3 linked regions of the Anolis sagrei genome follow. The protein of the gene in region 1 binds, or shares a complex with, the protein of each later gene. Links are inferred from orthologs where the notes say so. Each region holds a gene or a part of one and is shown in the gene's direction. Other genes may lie near its edges.

The links. The genes of interacting proteins can lie anywhere in the genome.
Region 2: MAP3K5 (region 1) and DAB2IP share a complex: the UniProt entries of both Homo sapiens proteins name them as parts of the cytoplasmic complex. The link is inferred for Anolis sagrei from reciprocal best matches to the Homo sapiens genes MAP3K5 and DAB2IP.
Region 3: MAP3K5 (region 1) and ARHGEF6 share a complex: the UniProt entries of both Homo sapiens proteins name them as parts of the cytoplasmic complex. The link is inferred for Anolis sagrei from reciprocal best matches to the Homo sapiens genes MAP3K5 and ARHGEF6.

The regions. Positions count from the first base shown.
Region 1 is NC_090021.1:79,748,047-79,755,494, forward strand, and holds the start of MAP3K5 (mitogen-activated protein kinase kinase kinase 5), read left to right. Parts: upstream 1-4,431; 5' UTR 4,432-4,575; coding exon 4,576-4,990; intron 4,991-7,448. UniProt on the Homo sapiens protein: Serine/threonine kinase which acts as an essential component of the MAP kinase signal transduction pathway. Plays an important role in the cascades of cellular responses evoked by changes in the environment.
Region 2 is NC_090031.1:2,168,225-2,175,614, reverse strand, and holds the start of DAB2IP (disabled homolog 2-interacting protein), read left to right. Parts: upstream 1-4,382; 5' UTR 4,383-4,640; coding exon 4,641-4,761; intron 4,762-7,390. UniProt on the Homo sapiens protein: Functions as a scaffold protein implicated in the regulation of a large spectrum of both general and specialized signaling pathways.
Region 3 is NC_090030.1:25,206,567-25,214,530, reverse strand, and holds the start of ARHGEF6 (rho guanine nucleotide exchange factor 6), read left to right. Parts: upstream 1-4,956; 5' UTR 4,957-5,086; coding exon 5,087-5,251; intron 5,252-7,964. UniProt on the Homo sapiens protein: Acts as a RAC1 guanine nucleotide exchange factor (GEF).

The DNA.
Region 1 (7,448 bases):
CCTGAAAACTTGTACCGTATTGACCTTTCCTCAGCTTCATGGCTTGCTAAAATGCCTAAAGCAAATTCTGTTGTGACTGATGCTCAACCTAAACCAACTCAAATTAACCAAACCTCTCCTTCTGATAAGGAAGGAAGAAAGTTGGATGCTATGGCCAAAAAGTTCTACTCCTCAGCATGCCTCTTTGCACGCATGGCTCACTATGGAGTATACATGAGTGTATACCAGACTGCCTTGTGGAACAAAATTGCTCCCTATCTAGACCTGTTACCACCAACTGAACAACCTCTAGCCACAGCTTTTAAACAAGAAGCTCTCCTTTTGGCCTCCCTACAAAAAGACCTCTCCAAAAATATTGCTGACACCGCAGGCAAACTTATTGCAGGATCAGTGGCCCTTCGTCGCCACGCCTGGCTAAGAGCAGCTATCCTTTCTCAATCACAACGCACCCTGATTGAAAATCTCCCCATGGATGAGGCAGGCCTTTTCAATCCTGAAACAGACTCTCAGTTAAAACACTCCCATGAAATGAAACAAACAGTATACAAGTATGACCATCAACCATACTCCTACCAACGCCAACGATGGGGCTCCTATTATTACCGTCCTCAATACTACAATAGGCCCTACAACACCTCATTCTACAGGGGACGACAAAGACCTTACAACCCCTCCACATCATCAAGACGACCGCCCCTACCTTCCAGAGGTCAGTACCGTGGTACCAGGCCCCCCAATACCAACAAACGCCGTTTTTAGCACACCTACACTTACCGACACTCCCTCACCACCCCACACCCAACCGCTTACATACCTTGACAGACTACATACCTTCCTTCCGACATGGCAGTCCATAACCACAGACACCTGGGTCTTGGACATCGTTGAAAGGGGTTATGCCATAGAATTTGACAATTATCCCCCAGTGGGTAATGTACTGCTAACACCACCTTCCCAAATCATTTGGGAAGAGATTCACTCTCTCCTCCAAAAGGGCGCCATCTCGCCTACTCCCTCACAAGATTCAGACATCTGTTTTTTCTCCCGTTACTTCCTGGTGGACAAGAAAGATGGTGGTCTACGCCCCATCCTTGATCTACGTAAACTCAACACTTTCATTACACCACGTAAATTTCATATGGTGACACTCCCCAAAATCCTTCCCTTCATTCCCAAGGACTCATGGTTAGCCACGATTGACCTTCGAGACGCCTACTTCCATATTTCAATTAGACACTCCCACCGCAGGTTCCTTACCTTTGCGGTCCAAAACAAACTATTCTCTTTTAATTCTCTCCCGTTCGGACTTTCCACATCTCCAAGGGTATTCACCAAATGCATGTCTGTTATAGCCGCACACCTCCGCCAGCAAGGCATCACAGTTTTTCCTTACCTGGATGACTGGATGTTTTGCTCATCCTCTCGATCACAACTGTGCAAGGATACTGATTATACTTTATCTCTTTTACAGGATCTGGGTCTGGTTGTGAATCACGAAAAATCTCACCTGACCCCAACACAACGTATCCAATTTATAGGAGCCATAATAGACTCCACACTTCAGAAGGCCTTCCTCCCAGAAGATCGCTTCCTAAATCTGTGTCAGGCTATCCTAACCCTACAACAATCCCGCCAAACATCAGCTTGGGCTATCCAATCTATCCTTGGCCATATGGCTTCTACCACAAGTGTAACACCCTTTGCCCGTCTAAGAATGAGACCCCTCCAAAGTTGGTTTCTCAAAGCGTTCGACCCCCTTCACGAACCCCAGTCACGGGTCCTAAAACCACCACCCCCTGTCCTCCAGTCACTCTCATGGTGGACAAAGCAATACAATGTTCTCTCGGGGATGCCATTCAACCATCCCCGTCCCTCCATGTCCCTCACAACCGACGCCTCCAACTCAGGTTGGGGAGCACATCTCAAGGGATTCCAGATCAGTGGCCACTGGTCCCCACAAGAGCAGAAGCTCCACATCAATGCCTTAGAAATGATGGCAGTGGAGAAGGCTCTTCGGGCCTTCACACGCATTGTGTCCAATCATGTCATACAAATAATAACAGACAACACCTCTGTCAAATACTACATCAACAAACAGGGAGGAACACGCTCACGCACACTCCTCCACATCTCACAACAAATTTGGGAGTGGTGCATTCTGAAGAATGTCCTCCTCACAGCCATCCACTTACCAGGCCAGGACAACATCCTGGCGGACTCTCTAAGCAGATCCTCAAAAAACAACCACGAGTGGCATCTCCACCCCAGACAGTTCAAAGCCCTCACACGCAAGTGGGGCGAACCCAGAATAGACCTATTTGCATCTCCAATAAACAACCACTGCCCACTCTACTGCGCACGGCTCCACCCTCGCGCATCCCAAGGTTGTCTCGGGGACGCCTTCCTATTCCAATGGTCGCCCGGCCTCCTCTACCTCTTCCCACCGCTCCCCCTCCTATCCCCAGTCATAGCCAAAATAATTCAGGACAACACGGACTGCATTCTAATCACACCCTGGTGGCCACGACAACATTGGTTTGCCCCCCTTCTCCAAATTTCCAACAAACAATACCTCCACCTCAGCCAAACCCCGGACCTTCTCACAGTAGAGAACGGCCTGGTCCTACACCCCGACCTGCAATCTCTACGCCTAACGGCGTGGAGAATCAAACCACACTAGACCTTTCTGATGAAGTCTCCCGTATACTTTTGGCGGCCCATAAACCTGCCACCAAGAAGTCATATGACTATAAATGGGCCTCTTTCAAATCCTTTGCTCACTCACTGGGACACAACCCTATCTCTGCCCCAGTTCCCTTTGTTTTAGACTTCCTTGTCCACCTTTCCGACAAAGGTTTCTCCCTTTCTTCGGTGAAATGCTACCTGTCAGCCATTTCATTTTTCCGAAGGAAGTCCGGGCTGCCGTCCCTTTTTCAGGACCATCTGGTACAGTTGTTTCTTAAGGGCTACAAAAATATCCACCCTCCTGTCTCCCCCCCTCCCCCCCAGTGGAGCCTGGAGCTAGTGCTATCCCAATTATCCAAACCACCATTTGAACCTATGGCCTCTAATGATATCTCCCACCTGTCGTGGAAGACGGCCTTTCTTGTGGCCATTACTTCAGCTAGGAGAGCCAGCGAACTCGCGGCCCTCCGTTCAGACCCTCCTTATGTGAGATTCCACCCTGACAAGGTTGTCCTCCGCACCGATGTCACGTTCCTTCCTAAGGTGGTCTCTCATTTTCATATGTCACAAGACATTGTTCTACCAAATTTTTTCCCCAACCCAGTTGGAGGTAGTTCTGCACTCCCTTGATGTTAAAAGAGCACTCTCCTTTTACTTACATAGAACTTCCGTTTATAGGAAGTCTCCCAGATTGTTTTTGAAATACAGGAAAGACGTACTTGGCCAGCCTGTGTCCTCCCAAGGACTGGCCTCCTGGATTGTTGCAACCATCCGTCTAGCCTACCAGCTCGCAGGGAAAGAACCTCCATCCCACCTCGTGGGACATTCAACCCGCTCTGTGTCTACATCTCAAGCATTCCTCAAGGGAATTCCCTTGGATCAGATTTGCAAAGCAGCTACGTGGGCTACGCCGTCCACGTTCGCCGCTCACTACAAGCTTGACATACAGGCAAAGCAAGATGCTAGCTTCGGCAGAGCAGTTCTTTTCTCCTGTGTGGCATGACCCACCTCCAGGTCAGTAGCTTGCTATTCACCCATAGGTGCGCATTTCACGGACGACACGAAGAATAAATAAAGGTTGCTTACCTGTAACCGTATTTCTTCGAGTGTCAGTCCGTGAAATCCGCACGACCCGCCCGTCCTCCCCTCTGTCATGCCATTCTCCTGGCTGCTGTTTAGCGCTGGGAACTAGATAATGGCGGCGCCGCTCGGCGCTTATATCCAGGGGGGCGGGGGAATGGGCGGGGCCTAGGTGGCTCAAATAATCATTTTTAATTCTTTAAACTTAGAAATGTTCCGAGTTTCTGCGCATGCGCAAAGAAGAACCCATAGGTGCGGATTTCACGGACTGACACTCGAAGAAATACGGTTACAGGTAAGCAACCTTTATTTTCTCGATGTTCAATGACAGGCCGAGTTTCTCGTATGCTTCTGCAACATTACAGTTATGAAGTAGCAATGAAAACAATTTTATGGTTGGCAGGTCACCACAACATGATGAACTAACTGCATGAAGGGGTGGCGGGATTGGGAAGGTTAAGAGCCACGGCTCTACTTGAGGAAGGAAAGCAAGCGATTGGGCGAAACCCTTCCAGGGCAGGGCCAGCAGGGGGCGCTCTTCCGCAGGGATTGCCCCTGGCCAACCGTGGGCGCTGCTGCTGCTGCTGGGCGGCGGGTGTTGACGGGCGCGCGGCGAGCTCCGCCCCGTTTCCCTCCCTCCCTCCCTCCCCCTCCCGAGGGGCGGGGCCTCTCCTGGCTCAGGCGCGGAGCGGCAGAAGCGGCGGAGGCGGGAGCGATGCAACAAGTGTCCCGCGAGCAGAGCGGGGGCCCTTTAAGTCCCGGAAGGCCGGCGCGCGCCTCGATGGTGCCGGCTTGGGCTCCGAAGCGGCGATGAGTGACAAGAGCAGCGAGGCGGCGGGCATCACCTTCTCGGTGCCCAGCCTGGTCGGGGGCGGATGCCCGCTGCTGCTCTGCGAGGACGCCTTCGGGAGGAAAACCGGGGCCGGGGCGGGCGGAGCGGGGTCCTCGCGGGCAGCTCCGCCCGGCGCCTTCTGGAACGAGGAGAGCGGCCACGGGAGCACCACCGTCGCCTGCGAGGCCGGGGCCCGGTCCCGGGGGGCCCGCCGGACCACGGTGTCGTACGTGATCAACGAGGCCAGCCCGGGCGCCGTCCTGCAGGCGGAGAGCGGGGCCCTGCAGAGCCTGCGCGAGGCGTGCGAGACCGTGGGCGCCGAGCTCCAGGCGCTCCACTTCGGGAAGCTCGACTTCGGAGAGACCGCTGTCCTCGACCGATTCTACAACGCCGGTGAGGCAGGCCCCCCTCCCCTCCCTCCCCCCTCCCTCTTCTCCCGCCCTCCTTGCGTCTCCACTGGAGGACGAACGCGCCTTGGCAGCCCTCCCTCCATGCTGGGGAATCCCCGACTTGCAAACATCCCACTTGCAAACGACTCACAGTTCAGAACGGGGCGGAGACAACAGGAAGTGAGGGAAATCAATGTATTGTCAAGGCTTTCATGGCCGGAATCAGGAGCTCCCCGTGGCGCGATGGGTTAAACCCTTGTGCCAACAGAACTGAAGACCAGCAGGTCGGAGGTTCGAATCCGGGGAGAGCGCGGATGAGCTCCCTCTGTCAGCTCCAGCTCCCCATGAGAGGAAGATGGTAAAACATCAAAACATCCGGGCGTCCCCTGGCAACGTTCTTGCAGACGGCCAGTTCTCTCACACTAGAAGTGACTTGCAGTTTCTCAAGTCACTCCAGACACGAAAACAACAACATGGCCGGAATCACTGGGTTGTTATAAGTTTCCCAGGCTGTATGGCCATGTTCCAGAAGCATTCTCTCCTGATGTTTCACCTGCATCTATGGCAGGTATCCTCAGAGGTTGTGAGGCTTGGTCTCAGGCCCCATCCTTTCCCCCCTCTGAGGATACCTGCCATAGATGCAGGTGAAACATCAGGAGAGAATGCTTCTGGAACATGGCCATACAGCCTGGGAAACTTACAACAACCCAGTGAGAGAAATCTTCCCTTTCAGAAGGGAAATTTGCTCCTGAAAGAGTTGTTGTCAGAGCGGAAAGGTGTCTCCGCTGAACCTTTCTCACCCGTCCTTCAAATGAAATTTCCCAAAATGATCACAGGGACAGAAATCGAGGTGAAATCTCCCGAACAGGGGCACAGGCAGCAAAGGAAATGCCACTGGGATGTTCACTCTTCCATAGGCTATCCAAAGTATTCCCCTGACGTTAAGTCTAGTTGTGTCTGACTCTGGGGGTTGGTGTTCATCTCCTTTTCTAAGCCAAAGAGCCAGCGTTGTCCGTAGACGCCTCCAAGGTCATGTGACCAGCATGACTGCATGGAGCACCATTACCTTCCCGCCTAAGCGGTACCTATTGATCTTCTCACATTTGCATGTTTTCAAACTGTTAGGTTGGCGGAAGCTGGGGCTAACAGCAGGAGCTCACCCCACTCCCTGGATTCGATGTGCCAACCTTTTGGTCAGCATGTTCAGCAGCTTAGCATTTAACTTGCTGCGCCACCAGGAGCTCCAGGATATCCAAAGCTTGCATAATAGATATTGCTGGAGATTGGCATTTAAGAAGGGTACCTGTTCAGACTTCACACATTCAATTTAAGAACAAGCCCACAGAACCCCTCTCATTTGTCACATGGGGACTGCCTATACTGGAAGGGGTGCCTTTACACTGGACCAGGAGTGTACAAGGGAATCCTGGGATTTGTAGTTTTACAAGAATTTGCAGTTATGAGTGCAGATTCATGCTGCTTGAACTGTTGTGGACTTCCTATGGAGTTGCACTTTGGCGAGGCAACCAGCCCTCTTTGGCTAAAAAAGACTTAATGAAACCACCAGCCCTTCCAGACAGGCACTTTATCCCAGAATCTGATCCGAGGTTTTCTCTTTGTCCCAGATTATCTGGCAGTGAAGACTCATATAATCCACTTTAAAGCAGAAAACCTGGGATCAGATCCTGGAATATAGGGCCTTTCTGGAAGGGCACTACGACACCAATGATTGCATATCATTGAGCCAGAGCTGTTAAAGCGACATCAAACTGCATTATTTCTGCTGTGGAGATCAGGGAGCCTTCCAGCTGTCTGGGACTCCAGCTCCCACAGTTCTTGACAATTGAGCAAGTTGGCTAGGGCTTCTGGGAGTTGGAGGCCCAAACAGCTGGAGAGCTGCAGTTTGAAGACACTTGGTGTAGATGCAAACAGTCTTTCTTCCCTGTCAGCACAGGAGGGCCAAGGGAGGCAAGGCACTTCCTTGACTGCAGATGAGAGATACTGAAGGGGAAGGGAGTCCCCTTCCTTCAGCACTTCCAACCCCTTCCTAATATAATAATTCTTGTGTACCTGCAGTGGAACCTGTTGGAGTATAATCCCTGGAATGGCCTCCTTTATCTCTAAGGCCTGGCACTAGAATTTTGCCCCCTTTCCTGATTTTGGAAGATTTTCATATGCATAATGGAAATGGGACACAAGCCTCAGCACCAAATACATTTTTGTTTCATATTATACACCTTATCCAGGGCCCTGGTGGCACAGTGGGTTAAACCACTGAGCTGCTGAACTTGCTGACTGAAAGGTTGGTGATCCAGATCCAGGGAGTGGGGTGAGCTCCTGCTGTTAGCCCCAACTTCTGCCTACCTAGCAGTTCAAAAACATGCAAATGTGAGTAGATCAATAGATACTGCTTCGGCGGGGAGGTAACGGCGCTCCATGCAGTCATGCCTGCCATATGACCT
Region 2 (7,390 bases), on another chromosome or scaffold:
CAATTGACTTAACACATTATCCATAAATTACCAATAAGCCATTACAATGCACAATTATTACAAAAAACAACAACCGTCCCCAATCTTCTCCTCATCCAAGCGTAGTCCAGGTTCGCCGTCCATTGTTCCATTCCTATGTTCCATTACCAGATTGCACTAAATTACTCAAACGCCTGCACAAACATCCAGGTCTTCACCTTTTTGCGGAATACCATTAGAGATGGTGCTAGTCTAATGTCCGTAGGAAGGGCGTTCCACAGCCGAGGAGCCACCACCGAGAAGGCCCTATCTCTCGTCCCCGCCAGCCGAGCTTGAGAAGCAGGCGGGATCGAGAGCAGGGTCTCCCCGGAAGATCTCAAACTCCTGGTGGGTTCATAGGCAGAAATGCGGTCAGATAGGTAACTTGGGCCGGAACCGTTTAGGGCTTTAAAGGCCAACGCCAGCACTTTGAATTCAGCCCGGTAGCAGATCGGTAGCCAGTGGAGTTGGCGCAACAGGGGGGTTGTATGCTCCCTGCGCTCCGCTCCTGTTAAAATCATGGCTGCCGAGCGTTGGACTAGTTGGAGCTTCCGAGCTGTCTTCAAAGGCAACCCCACGTAGAGAGCGTTGCAGTAGTCTAAACGGGATGTAACCAGAGCGTGGACTACCGTGGCCAAGTCAGACTTCCCAAGGTATGGGCGCAGCTGGCGCACAAGCTTTAGCTGTGCAAATGCTCCCCTGGTCACCGCCGAAACCTGGTCACCGCCGAAAATAATGTCCAGCTCAAAATGCTGAGACGCACATGGAATTCGATGTCTTTTGGGTTGTATACATTTTGTTCACATGGATGTATTGTTGTTGTATTCAGGCATTGAAAGTTTGCCTTTTATGTTTAGAATTGTGACGATGTGTAAGTTTTATTGCTTTGGTTATGGGTAGTTTGGATAGTGGTTTAGGGATGGTAAGTATGGGAGATTATGTTTTGTTGGAGATGGTGGCTTGGCGTTAGCTGAGTTGCCATAGCAACAGGGGCGGAGCCAACTGCCTCTTGAGGAGGCAGCTATTTTAAAAAGTCAGCCAGTGGCCGGAGAGCTACTGAGAGGACTGAGTCTCTGGGTGGAGATTCAGGGAATGTGTCTGTAGCCGGTGTGCTATAGGAAAGACTGGATCTCAGGGTGGAGATTCAGGGAATCAATTGGTGACCAAAGTGGTTGCAGAGAAGGACCCGGTAGTGAGAGAGCTACAGGGGGTTGTTGATTCTGAATTAAGAATCAAGGTTTGGCTGGGTTTAAGCCTGCTGTTCCTGTGGTGAAACGTTTTGAAGTCTGTGCCTGAGATTACTCATGAAACCTTTCCAATGTAACCATCAAGATTTGTGCCTCTTGAGAAGAAACAGTTAAATATGTTATACTCCTGTTAAAATAAACTTGTTACTGTTTTCCTGAAGCCTTGCCTGATACAGTTTCTCCTAAGTTGAACAGCCTGCAATAGTAAAGTCAGCCAGAAACAGTAAACGCTACGCTATCCACTGAATAAGACCTTCTGTCATTAACAGTCCCTTTATAAAATAGTTCCTAGGCTGATATTGATCGTTGCCCGGCTTCCCTCATAGATTAGTGGGTGTTTTACCACTCGCACCTTCACATTTGGTGGCATTCGGTGGGATTAAAACGGTCTTCTTTACAAGAATCCATCCTGTGTCCCTCTGGGGAGATAGAGCAGAATATAAAGAAATTTTTATTATTATTATTATTATTATTATTGAAAAATAAAAATCAGCATGATTTCCAATCTCAATAGTACCATTCCCGCCTCTCCAACTTCTGTAACGTGGCAGTGGCAATCCTTATTCTGCTCGCTCCATCTCTCTCCAAATACCCATCCTAGTTATATGTCACCTTGTCATGCCCAGCATTTTTTATAATTTTAATTATTACATTTGGCCCTGCCATAGGTTTTTAATGCGCCGTGGTGTTATTGTTACTGTTTATTGCTTTGTTTATGAGTTTATGCATTATCTGTATTGCTGTTGTTGCTGTTTTTACTGATGTATTTCGGCTTGGCATCTTGTAAGCCTCACCGAGTCCTTCGGGAGATGGTAGTGGGGCATAAATAAAGGTTTATTATTAATATTATTATTATTAGTCCTGTACCGTCCCACTTTACAGCTGTTTTTCAAACGTCCCAGTTTCTCTCGCCTCCTTCCATTTTCCTCCTTTGTCCTCAGCTTTCCTTTGTGGCTGCAAACAGAATTGAAGATGCAAAAGTGCTATATGCACCAGGCCTGGGCAAACTTGGGCCCTCCAGGTGTTTTGGACTTCAACTCCCACAATTCCTAACAGCCTACCGGCCCTCCAGGTGTTTTGGACTTCAACTCCCACAATTCCTAGCAGCCTACTGGCTGTTAGGAATTGTTGGAGTTGAAGTCCAAAACACCTGGAGGGCCCAAGTTTGCCCAGGCCTGGTATAGACCCAATGATTTCAATGGGCACTTCCCTGGTGGTTCAGGCAAAAGCAAACAGCTGCTGTCTTTCCTAGTTGTGCTTTGCCACATTGACCACAACCAGGTATATTTGATCTCACATGCCCCAATTTCCATTTGCAGAATGTCAGTCCATTTGGTGTTGCAGGACGCCCAGTATATTTTGGGGGGGAGGGCAAATGCAAATACTTGCAAGGGTCTGGCATGCCCAGGGCAGATTGCAGTTTTTCCCAAAGGAGGAATAGGTACAAGTAAGAGAAAGAAAGAGTTCCTCCTCCTCCTTGTCTGTGCCTCTCGGAGTCATCTGTCGCCCAGCTGTGCCTTTGCTCCTTTGACCTGAACTTGGTGCGTTGATTGGCCATTCCTGGCCTTCAGAAAGTTACTTGTGGGTTTTGGGGGAGGAACGCTGCAAAATCTGGCATGGACTTTCCAGGAATATTTATTGCTTTCTGGTGAACCTTTGCTCCGCGTGTCTTTGGTGCATGGGAGAAAATTCAGTCTCAATTCGTTTTTTGATGCTAGTGGGTGAGCATTTGCAAATTTCACCATGTGGTGGAAGGATAGAAGGGAATCTCAATGTGCAAGGTTCACATGTCAGCCCAAGCTGTGAATGGGTTAGACCAACTGCAGAAGCAAGAGAAGGCTGAGCTGAATGGAGCTCCTTTTTGTTCATATGCCAACAGAGAGAGCCTCCATATGCAGGGGCAGTGTACTTGGGCATAGCAGATACTTGAGAACTAAAACTTAAGGAAATGTTGTTTTTCCCACCTGTCCAGGGCCCATGAAAATGGAAAAGATGCAGGACTTGGAATGTTTTACTTTTGGGGCTACAATTCCCAGAAATATCTCCAAGATGGGAGGCACTACCATTTCTCACTTATTGAGGGATCCATCATTAAGGGGAGTAAACCTGGCCCACTTGCCTCTAGCCAGGGTATGGGCCAACTTGAAGTCCAAGTGTTTTGGACTTCAGATCCCACAACCTGGGTATGCAGATGATCCCTTGAATGACCATAGTGTTCAGTTCCAAGAGGACAAAGGCATGGGCCAACTTGGCCTTCCCTTAATGTGTTTTGGACTCTAACTCCCACAACGTGGGTATGCAGATGATCCCTTGATGGACTGAAGTGTCCAGTTCCAAGAGGACAAAGGTATGGGTCAACTTGGGCCCTCCCTCCAGGTGTTTTGGACTCCAACTCCCACAATGTGGGTATGCAGATGATCCCTTGATTGACTGAAGTGTCCAGTTTCAAGAGGACCAAGGCCTGGGCCAACTTGGTCCCTCTCTCCAGGTGTGTTGGACTCCAGCTCCCACAACGTGGGTATGCAGATGATCCCTTAATTTACTGGAGTGTCCAGTTCCAAGAGGACAAAGGCATGGGCCAACTTGGGCCAGGTGTTTTGGACTCCAACTCCCACAACGTGGGTATGCAGATGATCCCTTGCTTGACTGAAGCGTTCAATTCCCAGGGGACAAAGGCACGGGTCAACTTCAGTCTTCCCTCCAGGTGTTTTGGACCTCAACCCTCACCATTCCACATTTCTCCCTTTCACTCTCCAATCATTCCTCTTTTAATTCTGCAGCACTGCTGGTCACAGCTGACCCCCAGTTACAGTGCTCAAGGGCCAGGGCTTCCCAATTCTTGGTGCAAAGTAAGAACCGCACAATTAACAAGGAAATTACACTTTCAAACCACAAAGAGAACATTTTTTTTCAAATTTTACTACATAGTGCAACCTTTATTGATGCCCGGCCTTTCTCCCTGTAGGGACCCACAACCCCAGCCAGACCTGTTCCCGTGTGTGCTATTGCCTTGGCCTCACAAAGCAGTGGCAATCCAGTCCAGGACTTCCTCCCGCCTCAACTTGTTCCCTTTCCAAGTCCTGTTTCCTCTTTGCAGCTCCTATCTTGAAAGTGTGGGGAGGGGAGGGGGCAGGAAAGAACTCTGGGCTATGTTTATCTGGCCTGCTGAGAATGTTGGCCCTGGAGCCGGAGGAGAAGTCCCCGGCTTTTATTTCTGGACCGGCACATGCCTTGCAGGCTGGGACTCCCAGCTCTGTGATCTTTATTTATTTCCTCTCCTCCTCCTCCTCTTCCCATCCTTTATTTCTTCCTTGTCTGTAAGTGGAGAAAGTGGAAGGGTTCTGGGAGGACCCCCACCACCGTCCCCCAAAAGAGATGTCGGTGAATGGTAGGAGAAGCTCCGGCAGGCCCTCCTACTACTACCGGCTGCTGCGGAGGTCCAGGCTTCACCGGCAACGGAGCCGGTCCCGCAGCCGCAACCGGCCACTCAGCAGGGGTAACGCACTTTCTTTGTTCTTGCATGCACCTCTGGCATCTGTTGCTCAGCACCTAGAAGGCAGGTAGAGTTCGGGGCCAATGGCAGGTGTGGGACAGGTATGGAGGAGACTTGTATGGGATGCACATTCTGGTGATGGAGGAAGGATACCGTCTTTCGGGCTGCACAGAATGGAGTGTCGTGTGTTATTATTGTTAGAGTTGGACCAAAACTATTGGATTAAGAGGCATGCCAGGTAGATGGCTGAGCCACACGTTGTCCGAGATGTCTTTCCTGCCCAGTCTCATATCCGGTCCAGATTTGGTGTTAGGGAGCCTCCAAGCAATGAGCTTGTTCTTAAGTGTGCCGGGCAAATTCGAAGAGGTCCAGTTCCATCAGATTTGGTATAGCACCGGATGGGGTCACACTCCTCCTGAAGACGCAGGTTCGCAGCTCAGGTGTGATCTTGGACTCGTCACTGAGCCTGGAACCCGAGGTTTCGGTGGTGACCAGGGGAGCATTCACACAGTTAAAACTTGTGCGCCAGCTGCACCCGTACCTTGGGAAGTCTGACTTGGCCACGGTAGTCCACGCTCTGGTTACATCCCGCATAGACTACTGCAACGCTCTCTACGTGGGGTTGCCTTTGAAGACTGCTCGGAAGCTTCAAATGGTCCAGCACTTCAACTCCCACAATTGCCAGGTTGCTAACAGGAGCGCCACTCAAGGAGCATACAACTCCGCTGCTGCGCCAGCTCCACTGGCTGCCAATTTGCTACCGGGCACAATTCAAAGTGCTGGCTTTAGTCTTTAAAGCCGTAAACGGTTCTGGCCCGACCTACCTGTCCGAACGCGTCTCCGCCTATGAACCAGTTAGGACATTAAGATCGTCTGGGGAGGCCCTGCTCTCGGTCCCACCAGCTTCACAAGCGCGCAGTAGTCTATACGGGATGTCACTAGAGCGTGGACTACCGTGACCAAGTCAGACTTCCCAAGGTCTGGGCGCAGCTGGCGCACAAGTTTTAATTGTGCAAATGCTCCCCTGGTCACTGCTGAAACAATAAAATACATAATAACAATAATTATAACAATTAAAACATTACATTAATACAATAAAAAGCTAGCCTGGTGGCCATTGTTTTGCCAAGTCCATAATTAATAAATTCATTCCGCTTATCATAATCTGGTTCCAAAACTTTAGTCGTCATTGTCCATTGTCAGTCTGCCAGATTACCTAAAGGCCTGGTCCCATATCCATGTTTTTAATTTCCTTCTGAAAGAGAGGAGGGATGACGATGATCTAATTTCCCTGGGGAGTGAATTCCACAGGCGGGGGGCCACCACCGAGAAGGCCCTGTCCCTCGTCCCAGCCAATCTCATTTGTGACGAGAGCAGGGTTCCCCCAGAAGATCTTAAATTCCAAGGCGGGACGTAGAAGGAGATACATTCGGACAGGTACGCAGGGCCGGTGCCGTATAGGGTTTTATGCAAGAGGGAGGTCGTTCTGTTGCCACTTCTCTGGAAGCTGGAATGTTAAGTGGGATGCAGCCAGTTGAGCGTGTAATGACTTTTTCTATTTACATTGTAGAGAGAGCACAGCATCCTGGGAACTGTAGTTTGGGAAGGCGAGGAGCCCTATGGCAGAGAATGCAAAAGGCCTTGCCCTGAACTACATTTCCCAGAATTCCGCTCAGCATCAGAAAGCCCCAATGAGGAGGAGGAAGAGGTCCTCCTTCCTGACAGAGTCCCAATGAATGGTTGAATCCCCCAAAAATCAGTATATGTGTGAATCTCTCAGAAACTGGGAGTGAATGCTCTCCTGTCATCTTGTGTCATTGTGCAGAAAATTCAAGGAGAGTGCTCTTGTAGGGTTTTGTTAATGTTGTTTGTAAAAATTTTGAAAATTCCCCCAAAATCAGTGGAGGAGCGAAACATTCTGAAACTTGGTGGGCACACAGTGGTCACTGGGTTCTATAACCGTACCAAGTTTCATGCCAATAGCTGTAAAAATGAAGGAGAAAGGGACCCTTGAAGTGTCCTCATTGGCACAATTACTTAACGAAAAGTAACGAAAAAGCAGTGAACTCATTATAGTTATGATACGGACCCCATCCAATTTTGGAAATTCTGATTTCGTAATGAGTATTCAAATATTTTTTTAATTACTAGCCATCCCCTGCCACACGTTGCTGTGGCCCAGTCTGTGTATATGTGCTTTGTATGTATATACATGTATATATGTGTGTGTATATGTGTATATATGTGATTATGCACATGCATTGTAATGCATTTTTTATTTTTTTGGCTTTTTGCATCCCTTCTTCTGTGTTTTCCAGTGTTTTAATGAGTGATGGTCACTCATTGGCTTGAGAGGTGTCTTGTGTCTAAATTTGATTTCAGTCCGTCCGGTGGTTTTTGAGTTATGTTAATCCCACAAACTTCTGGTTTGAAGAAGAACAGCCTGCCTCAGGGGAGCGTGCTCGCTTCGTTAATGTTCAACATTTACACAAATGACCAGCCACTGCCAGAAGGGACAGGGAGTTTCATCTATGCTGATGATCGTGCCATCACTGCTCAAGCAAGGAGCTTTGAGATGTTAGAACAGAAACTCTCTGAAGCTTTAGGTGCTCTTACTGCCTATTACAGGAGA
Region 3 (7,964 bases), on another chromosome or scaffold:
AACTGGAGGTCAGCTGTGACCAGCAGTGCTGCGGAATTCGAAGCTGCACGAATGAAGGGCTAAAGGGAGAAACATGCCAAAAGGAAGGTGCATCAAGCCAACCCTGACAGGGACCGCTTTCCACCTGGAAACCAATGTCCTCACTGCAGAAGATCAAGAATAGGGCTCCACAGCCACTTACGTATCCACCGCCAAGACACGACACTTGAAGGGCCATCATCCTCAAGCTACAAGGGATCGCCTAAGTCAAAGTATAAACATACCAATCTTGACTATTTTAGTTGTGTAAAAAGTTTTGCAACACTTCAAAGACAGGATACATTGCTGTAAGCTTAGGGGTGGCTTCAGAATAATAATAATAATAATAATAATAATAATAATAATAATAATAATAATAATAATAATAACCTTTATTTGTACCCCACTACCATCTCTCCAAGAGACTCGGTGAGGCTTACATGAGGCCAAGCCCACAATACATCAATAAACAAAACATCAATAAAACAATCAATACAATACAAATCGTATAAATCACATTAAAAAGGCAATAACCAATCAACAGTGACATATAAGCATTTAAAACCAATGGCCAGGCCAAATGTAATAGATTAAAAATTAAAAATAATGCTGATGTGAACAAGGTAGGATATAACTGGGATAGGATTTACAGAGAGAAATGAGGGAACGCAGTCAATCCTAAATCAATGGTAAAGTGCATTTTGAGGGCATATTGCGGAGAGTTTTCCTTATTCTGGGAAGGCACACTGGAACAACCATGTTTTCAGGCTCCTCCTAAAGACTGACAGAGTTGGGGCATGTCTGATGTCCCTGGTAAGTGAGTTCCAGAGTCGGGGAGCCACCACCAAGAAGGCCCTCTCCCTCGTCCCCACCAATCGCGCCTGCAAAGGAGGTGGGAGCGTGAGCAGGGCTTCTCCAGATGATCGAAGAGATCGTGTGGGTTCATACACAGAAATGCGGTCACTGAATCTCCATACACTGACCTCTGTCTGTTCAATATTAGCAATTAAGTAACACACTTCAACATTTTCAAACAAGGAACATATTTTTTTGAAATTTTGTTACATAGTGGTAACTTAGCAACCAGAACAGATTTTCTGTGGCATTCATAATTATGGATTCAATCCATAGATAGAGTAAAGTGAAGCTACCAGTAGGTGGTGCTGTTGGCCAGTTAAATAACTATTGTAATGAAAATACATTTGTTTTTACCCAGCCTTTAAAGTTCATGCTGAACCCCACAGAAATTCCCCAGTGTTTTGTATAATCCGACCTCTTATAGCACTATTGAAATCATGGAGGAATTTAAAAGGGTCTGGCCCTGAAGGAGAGACCCTGCGGACCCACAAAAAAGAGGGTTCGCTACAATGGTGAGCAAAGAGAAGCCCAATTTAAAAGGTTTTTCCTAAGTTCCCAAAAGAAATCTCACCAAAGTTGAAGGAAGTGCCACCAAGATCATTTTATGGCGATTCAGCTGAAAAGGATGCAAAGCAGCAATATTTCACCAAGCTGAGCATACAGTGTACAAAAATAAAGGCCTTTTTATACATAAAACAGAGCTGCCAGGTTTGAATCTCCCATTCCCCGCCCCTCTGCCGGCTCGACGATGATTGGCTGGCGCTCTACAGCTGGGAGGAGGCTTGGCCACCTCCTGAGCACCTGGGCCAATCGCTGGGCTTCTGCCGTCTTGGCATCCTGACAAATCAGGAGGGAGGCGGGACGAGAGGGAAACAATGGATTCTTGGGAGGATTATGGAGGTAGGAAATGTCCAAACGGCCAACGAGTCCTGGGGCGTGCGAGCCAGCCATTCCTATTGTCATTGAGAAACGTTGATTGTCTGGCAAGCCTGCCATAATCCGGATTTTTCCAGTGCTGAGAGACAGGAACAATGAGGGAATTTTGGCTGTGGTTTCAGTGGGTAAAAGTTGAATCAGTAACAGAATAGGACAAATTGAGATATGATCATAAATGCCAAGTTGAGATATGATCATAAATGCCAAGTGACCGCTTCCTCTGGGGGGCCAACTCCAAGGCCAGAGGTCACAGTCCTTTGTTATTGTCCATGCAAATAGTGTCTTTTGATAAGGGTCTTTTTCAACTGGAGATTTCCTTCTTTCCAGGGTCACAGGGGTGGCTTCTTATATTTTTATACATTTTTCAATAAAGGGGAATTGGGCAAAGGGGTCAGGAAAAGGTCAGATACACAGGGAGGAATATATAAAAATAGAAATCATGTTATAGAAAGCATACCCACTTATCCCTCCCACCAGAGTCCCATAGAAGTTCAAGAGAGCACATAAGTGTAAAGGGAGGTGGTTTCTCAGCAATAAATGTGCTTTTTTTTGTTGTGTCAGGAGCGACTTGAGAAACTCACTTCTGGTGTGAGAGAATTGGCCGTCTGCAAGGACGTTGCCCAAGGACACCTGGATGATTTTGATGTTTTTATCCTTGTGGGAGGCTTCTCTCATGTCCCCACATGAGGAGCTGGAGCTGATAGAGGGAGCTCATCTGCCTCTCCCCTGTCGGTCTTCAGTCCTGCCGGCACAGGGGTTTAACCCACTGCGCCACCAGGGGCTCCACTATAAATGTGCTACCTTCTGCTATATATGAAACCTAGGGAATAAAAACTTGATTAAATGTACGCACTATCTAACATGGGAAGAGTCCTTGTTGTTGTTAGTGTCTTGGCAAATTGACCAAGGCTTAACCCACCGCCTCCTCCTGAGAAAAATGTATAATATCACAAAGGACTACCACCTCACCCGCCTCATAGGAAACCTGCTACAAAACAGGAGCTTTTTTGTTGAGTTCAGGGCCAGAGAAGCAGATGGCGGAAACAGAAGAACGGCCTGCCTCAGGGGAGCGTGCTTGCTCCATCCATGTTCAACATCTACACAGATGACCAGCCACTGCCAGAAGGGACAGAGAGCTTCATCTATGCTGATGATCGTGCCATTACCACTCAAGCAGGGAGCTTTGAGATGGTTGAAGATAAGTTCTCAGAAGCTATAGGTGCTCTTACTGCCTATTACAGGGAAAACCAACTGATCCCTAATCCATCTAAAACACAGACATGCGCCTTTCACCTTAAGAACAGACAAGCATCCCGAGCTCTGAGGATTACCTGGGAAGGAATCCCACTGGAGCATTGCAGCACACCCAAATACCTGGGAGTCACTTTGGACCGTGCTCTGACCTACAAGAAGCACTGCCTGAACATCAAGCAAAAAGTGGGTTCTAGAAACAACATCATACGAAAGCTGACTGGCACAACCTGGGGATCACAACCAGACACAGTGAAGACATCTGCCCTTGCGCTATGCTACTCTGCTGCTGAGTATGCATGCCCAGTGTGGAACACATCTCACCACACTAAAACAGTAGCTGTGGCTCTTAATGAGACATGCCGCATTATCACGGGGTGTCTGCGCCCCACACCACTGGAGAAATTACACTGCTTAGCCGGTATTGCACCACCTGACATCCGCCGGGAAGTAGCAGCCAATAGTGAAAGGACCAAGGCAGAGACATCTCCAGCTCATCCCCTGTTTGGGTATCAGCCAGCACGTCAACGACTTAAATCAAGACATAGTTTTCTTAGATCTACAGAGACACTCGCTGGAACACCCCAGCAAGCGAGAGTCCAAAAGTGGCAGGCCCAAACCCAGCACCTCAATCCATGGGTGATACCAGATGAGAGACTCCCCCCTGGGCACACAGAAGACTGGGCGACTTGGAAGGCGCTGAACAGACTGCGCTCTGGCACCACGAGATGCAGAGCCAATCTTAAGAAATGGGGTTACAGGGTGGAATCCTCGGCATGCGAGTGCGGAGAAGAGCAAACCACTGACCACCTGCTGCAATGCACCCTGAGCCCTGCCACATGCACAATGGAGGACCACCTTGCGGCAACACCAGAGGCACTCCAAGTGGCCAGGTACTGGTCCAAGGACATTTAACCAACTACCAAGTTTGCAAAATCTGTGGGTTTTTTTTTAATCTGTGTATTTGTTTTGTTGTGTTAGAATTGTAACACAATGGTATGGTTGCTGATGACACGATAAATAAATTTATTTATTTATTTATTTATTTATTTACAGTTCTTATATTCCGCCCTTCTCACCCCGCAGGGGACTCAGGGCGGATTACAGTAAACACATATATGGCAAACATTCAATGCCAGTTTGACAAACAACATTTAACAGACAAATACACCGAGGCTATTTAACTTTTTTCTGGCCGCCAGGGGAGTTGCTGCTTTTCATCATCCATCAACAACACCGATGAAGTTCTTCCGCATTCCACATTCCCCGGAGTCTTTTTTCTTTATGGCCTCATAAATTAGTTAAATTTAGCCTCCCACACAAGGTGGTACCTTATTTTCCTACTTGACAGATGCAACTGTCTTTCGGGTTGCAAAGGTCGACAACGGGCTACACAATGGCTGGACACCCACTCCAGCCCGGGCTGGCTTCGAACTCATGACCTTTTTGGTCAGAGTGATCTTAATGCAGCTGACACTCAGCCAGCTGCGCCACAAACCCGTATTATCAAGTCTCATGTGCTTGTCCTTAGCAAAACTATAAGTTACTATCTTTTATGGGGGGGGGGGGGTCATGTTCGACTTCAGTAATCTGTAGTTGCCATCTCACTTTGCGTACTGGATTGTGCCGCCCCTGTCCCAACTCATTCTCCAGGTGTAACCAAGGCTTCTATCCTTGAAGATGAAGGAAGGATGTAGAAAGCTATCGATGCACGAAGTTTCTGTTTTCAGCGACACAGGAAATCCGTGTTTACGGCACGACTTCTAGCCCCAGAAGCTTCCCTCCTTGGCACTTCTGCAGACGAGAAGCCATGTGTGCAAATGCGCACAAACCCGTTCCTCTAGTCAAGAGGGAAGTCAGTTTCTGGTGACTTTGTAAACCGGAAAAAAAAAGAGAAAAGGACAGTGGCTTTCAGCGCAGGGCAATCTGTGACATCTCAGGGCGGTTTGGCCCAGAAGAAGCAGGAAGGCAGTGTTGTGGAGGTGGCTCGGCCTTTTCATCGAGACGGAGAAACCCTACCAGCATGAACCCCGAAGAGCAAATTGTGACCTGGTTGATTTCACTGGGAGCCTTGAACTCCCCGAAAATGAAGGTCGGGGACCCCCTGCAATTCCTCAAAACGTCCCTCAAAGATGGAGTCGTCTTGTGCAAACTCCTTCTCCGACTCCTTCCAGGATCTATAGAGAAGGTAAGGCAGCGTTTCTCAACCTGGGGGTCGCAAGGGCAGGGGCGGCTCAACCATTACGCAAAGTAAGCCTTTGCAGTATAGTTGATTTTGGCCAGGGGCGCTCTTGAGGCGCTCTTGGGGGAAAATAGACCTTGAGGTCTTTCCAAGTTGTGGTCTCATAGGAAATGCTTGTGGCTTGACTACTGCAATGCATTTTTGTTTACGGGCGGCCCTTGGAGACCTCGTGAGAGGCTTCAGTAGGTTGAGAAGTGTTGAAAGGGACGGCAGTGGAGCCATCTAACAGGAAAAGGCCTTCATTGGGTTCCTTTATAGAGCCTAACCCATGAGATCAGTACAAACCACTGTCTCATGTACCCACATCTGACAAAATATGCCCTCACTAGGCATTTACTTGGTCCTCCACAGGGGCGGCTCAACCATTACACAAAGTAAGCCTTTGCAGTATAGTTGATTTTGCCCAGGGGCGCTCTTGAGGCGCTCTTGGAGGAAAATAGACCTTGAGGTCTTTCCAAGTTGTGGTCTCATAGGAAATGCTTGTGGCTTGACTACTGCAATGTATTTTTGTTTACGGGCGGCCCTTGGAGACCTCGTGAGAGGCTTCAGTAGGTTGAGAAGTGTTGAAAGGGACGGCAGTGGAGCCATCTAATAGGAAAAGGCCATCATTGGGTTCCTTTATAGAGCCTAACCCATGAGATCAGTACAAACCACTGTCTCATGTACCCACATCTGACAAAATATGCCCTCACTAGGCATTTACTTGGTCCTCCACAGGGGCGGCTCAACCATTACGCAAAGTAAGCCTTTGCAGTATAGTTGATTTTGCACAGGGGTGCTCTTGAGGTGCTCTTGGGGGAAAATAGACCTTAACATATGCAAGTTGTAGTTACTGGGATGTATAGTTCACCTACAACCAAAGAGCATTCAGAACTCCACCAATGATATAATTGGACCAAATATGGCACACAGAACTCCCACGACGAACAGAAAATATATATCAGTGATTGGTTGGGTGGGTGGGTGGGGTGGGGTGGGGCGCCAAAATACTGTTTGAATACCGTTGAAAATTACCTAGGGCCGCCTCTGCGCGAGGGGGATGTCAGAGGGGTCGCCAAAGACCATCAGAAAACACAATATTTTCTGTTGTTCATGGGGCTTCTGTGAGGGAAGTTTGGCCCAATTCTATCATTGGTGGAGTTCAGAATGCTCTTTGATTGTAGGTGAACTATAAATCCCAGCAACAACTCGCAAAAGTCAAGGTTTATTTTCTCCAAACTTCATCAGTATTCATGTTTGGGCAATGTCCACCAAACCCTTTGAGTATTTTCTGTAGGTCATGGGAGTTCTGTGTGTCAAGTTTTGTTCAATTCTATTGTTGGTGGAGTTCAGAATGCGCTTTGATTGTAGGTGAACTATAAATCCCAGCAACAACTCCCAAATGTCAAGGTTTATTTTCTCCAAACTTCACCAGTATTCACGTTTGGGCAATGTCCACCAAACCTTGGAGTATGTTCTGTAGGTCATGGGAGTTCTGTGTGTCAAGTTATGTTCAGTTTTATTGTTGGTGGAGTTCAGAATGCTCTTTGATTGTAGGTGAACTATAAATCCCAGCAACAACTCCCAAATGTCAAGGTTTATTTTCTACAAACTTCACCAGTATTCACGTTTGGGCAATGTCCACCAAACCTTCAAGTATGTTCTGTACGTCATGGGAGTTCTGTGTGTCAAGTTTTGTTCAATTCTATCGTTGGTGGAGTACAGGTTAACTATAAATCCCAGCAACTCCAACTCCCAAATCACAAAATCAATCTCCCCCAACCCCAACAGCATTCAAATTTGGATGCATCAGATATTTGTGCTAATGTGGTCCAGTGAATGAAAATACATCCTGCATAGCAGATATTTACATTATGATTCATAACAGTAGCAAAATTACAGTTATGAAGTAGAAATGAAAATAATGTTATGGTTGGGGGTCACCACAACAAGAAAGGAGATTCCATCTGAACATGAGGAAGAACTTCCTGTCTGTAAGAGCTGTTCAGCAGTGGAACTCTCTGCCCCAGAGTGTGGTGGAGGCTCCTTCTTTGGAGGCTTTTAACCAGAGGCTGGATGGCCATCTGTCAGGGGTGCTTTGAATGCAATATTCCTGCTTCTTGGCAGGGGGTTGGACTGGATGGCCCATGAGGTCTCTTCCAACTCTAGGATTCTATGATTCTATGATTCCTACTTGGCCGCAGAAATCCATCGGGAAAGTCACACTCTCTCAGCCTCAGAGGAAAGGGAAAGCCATTTGCCTCTAAACAATATTTATGAATATTTGCCTTAGAGTCATCATAAATCGCCAAGCACCTTGAAAGAACATCCACGGCATTCCCCGCACCTATCCAGCTTGTAACTCTATCGAAAAAAGAGATCAGATGCGTCCGGCATGACTTGTTTTTGATAAATCCATGTTGACTATTAGCGATGACCGCATTTGTTTCTAAGTGTTTGCAGACCACTTCCTTAACAATCTTTTCCAGAATCTTGCCTGGTATCGACGTGAGGCTGACCGGATGGTAATTGTTTGGGTCATCCTTGTTTTGCTTCTTGAAGATTGGGACCACATTGGCCTTCCTCCAATCTGCTGGAACTTCTCCCGTTCTCTAAGAACTCTCAAAGATGATTGCCAATGGTTCCGAGATTACTTCTGCTAGTTCCTTCAATACTCTCG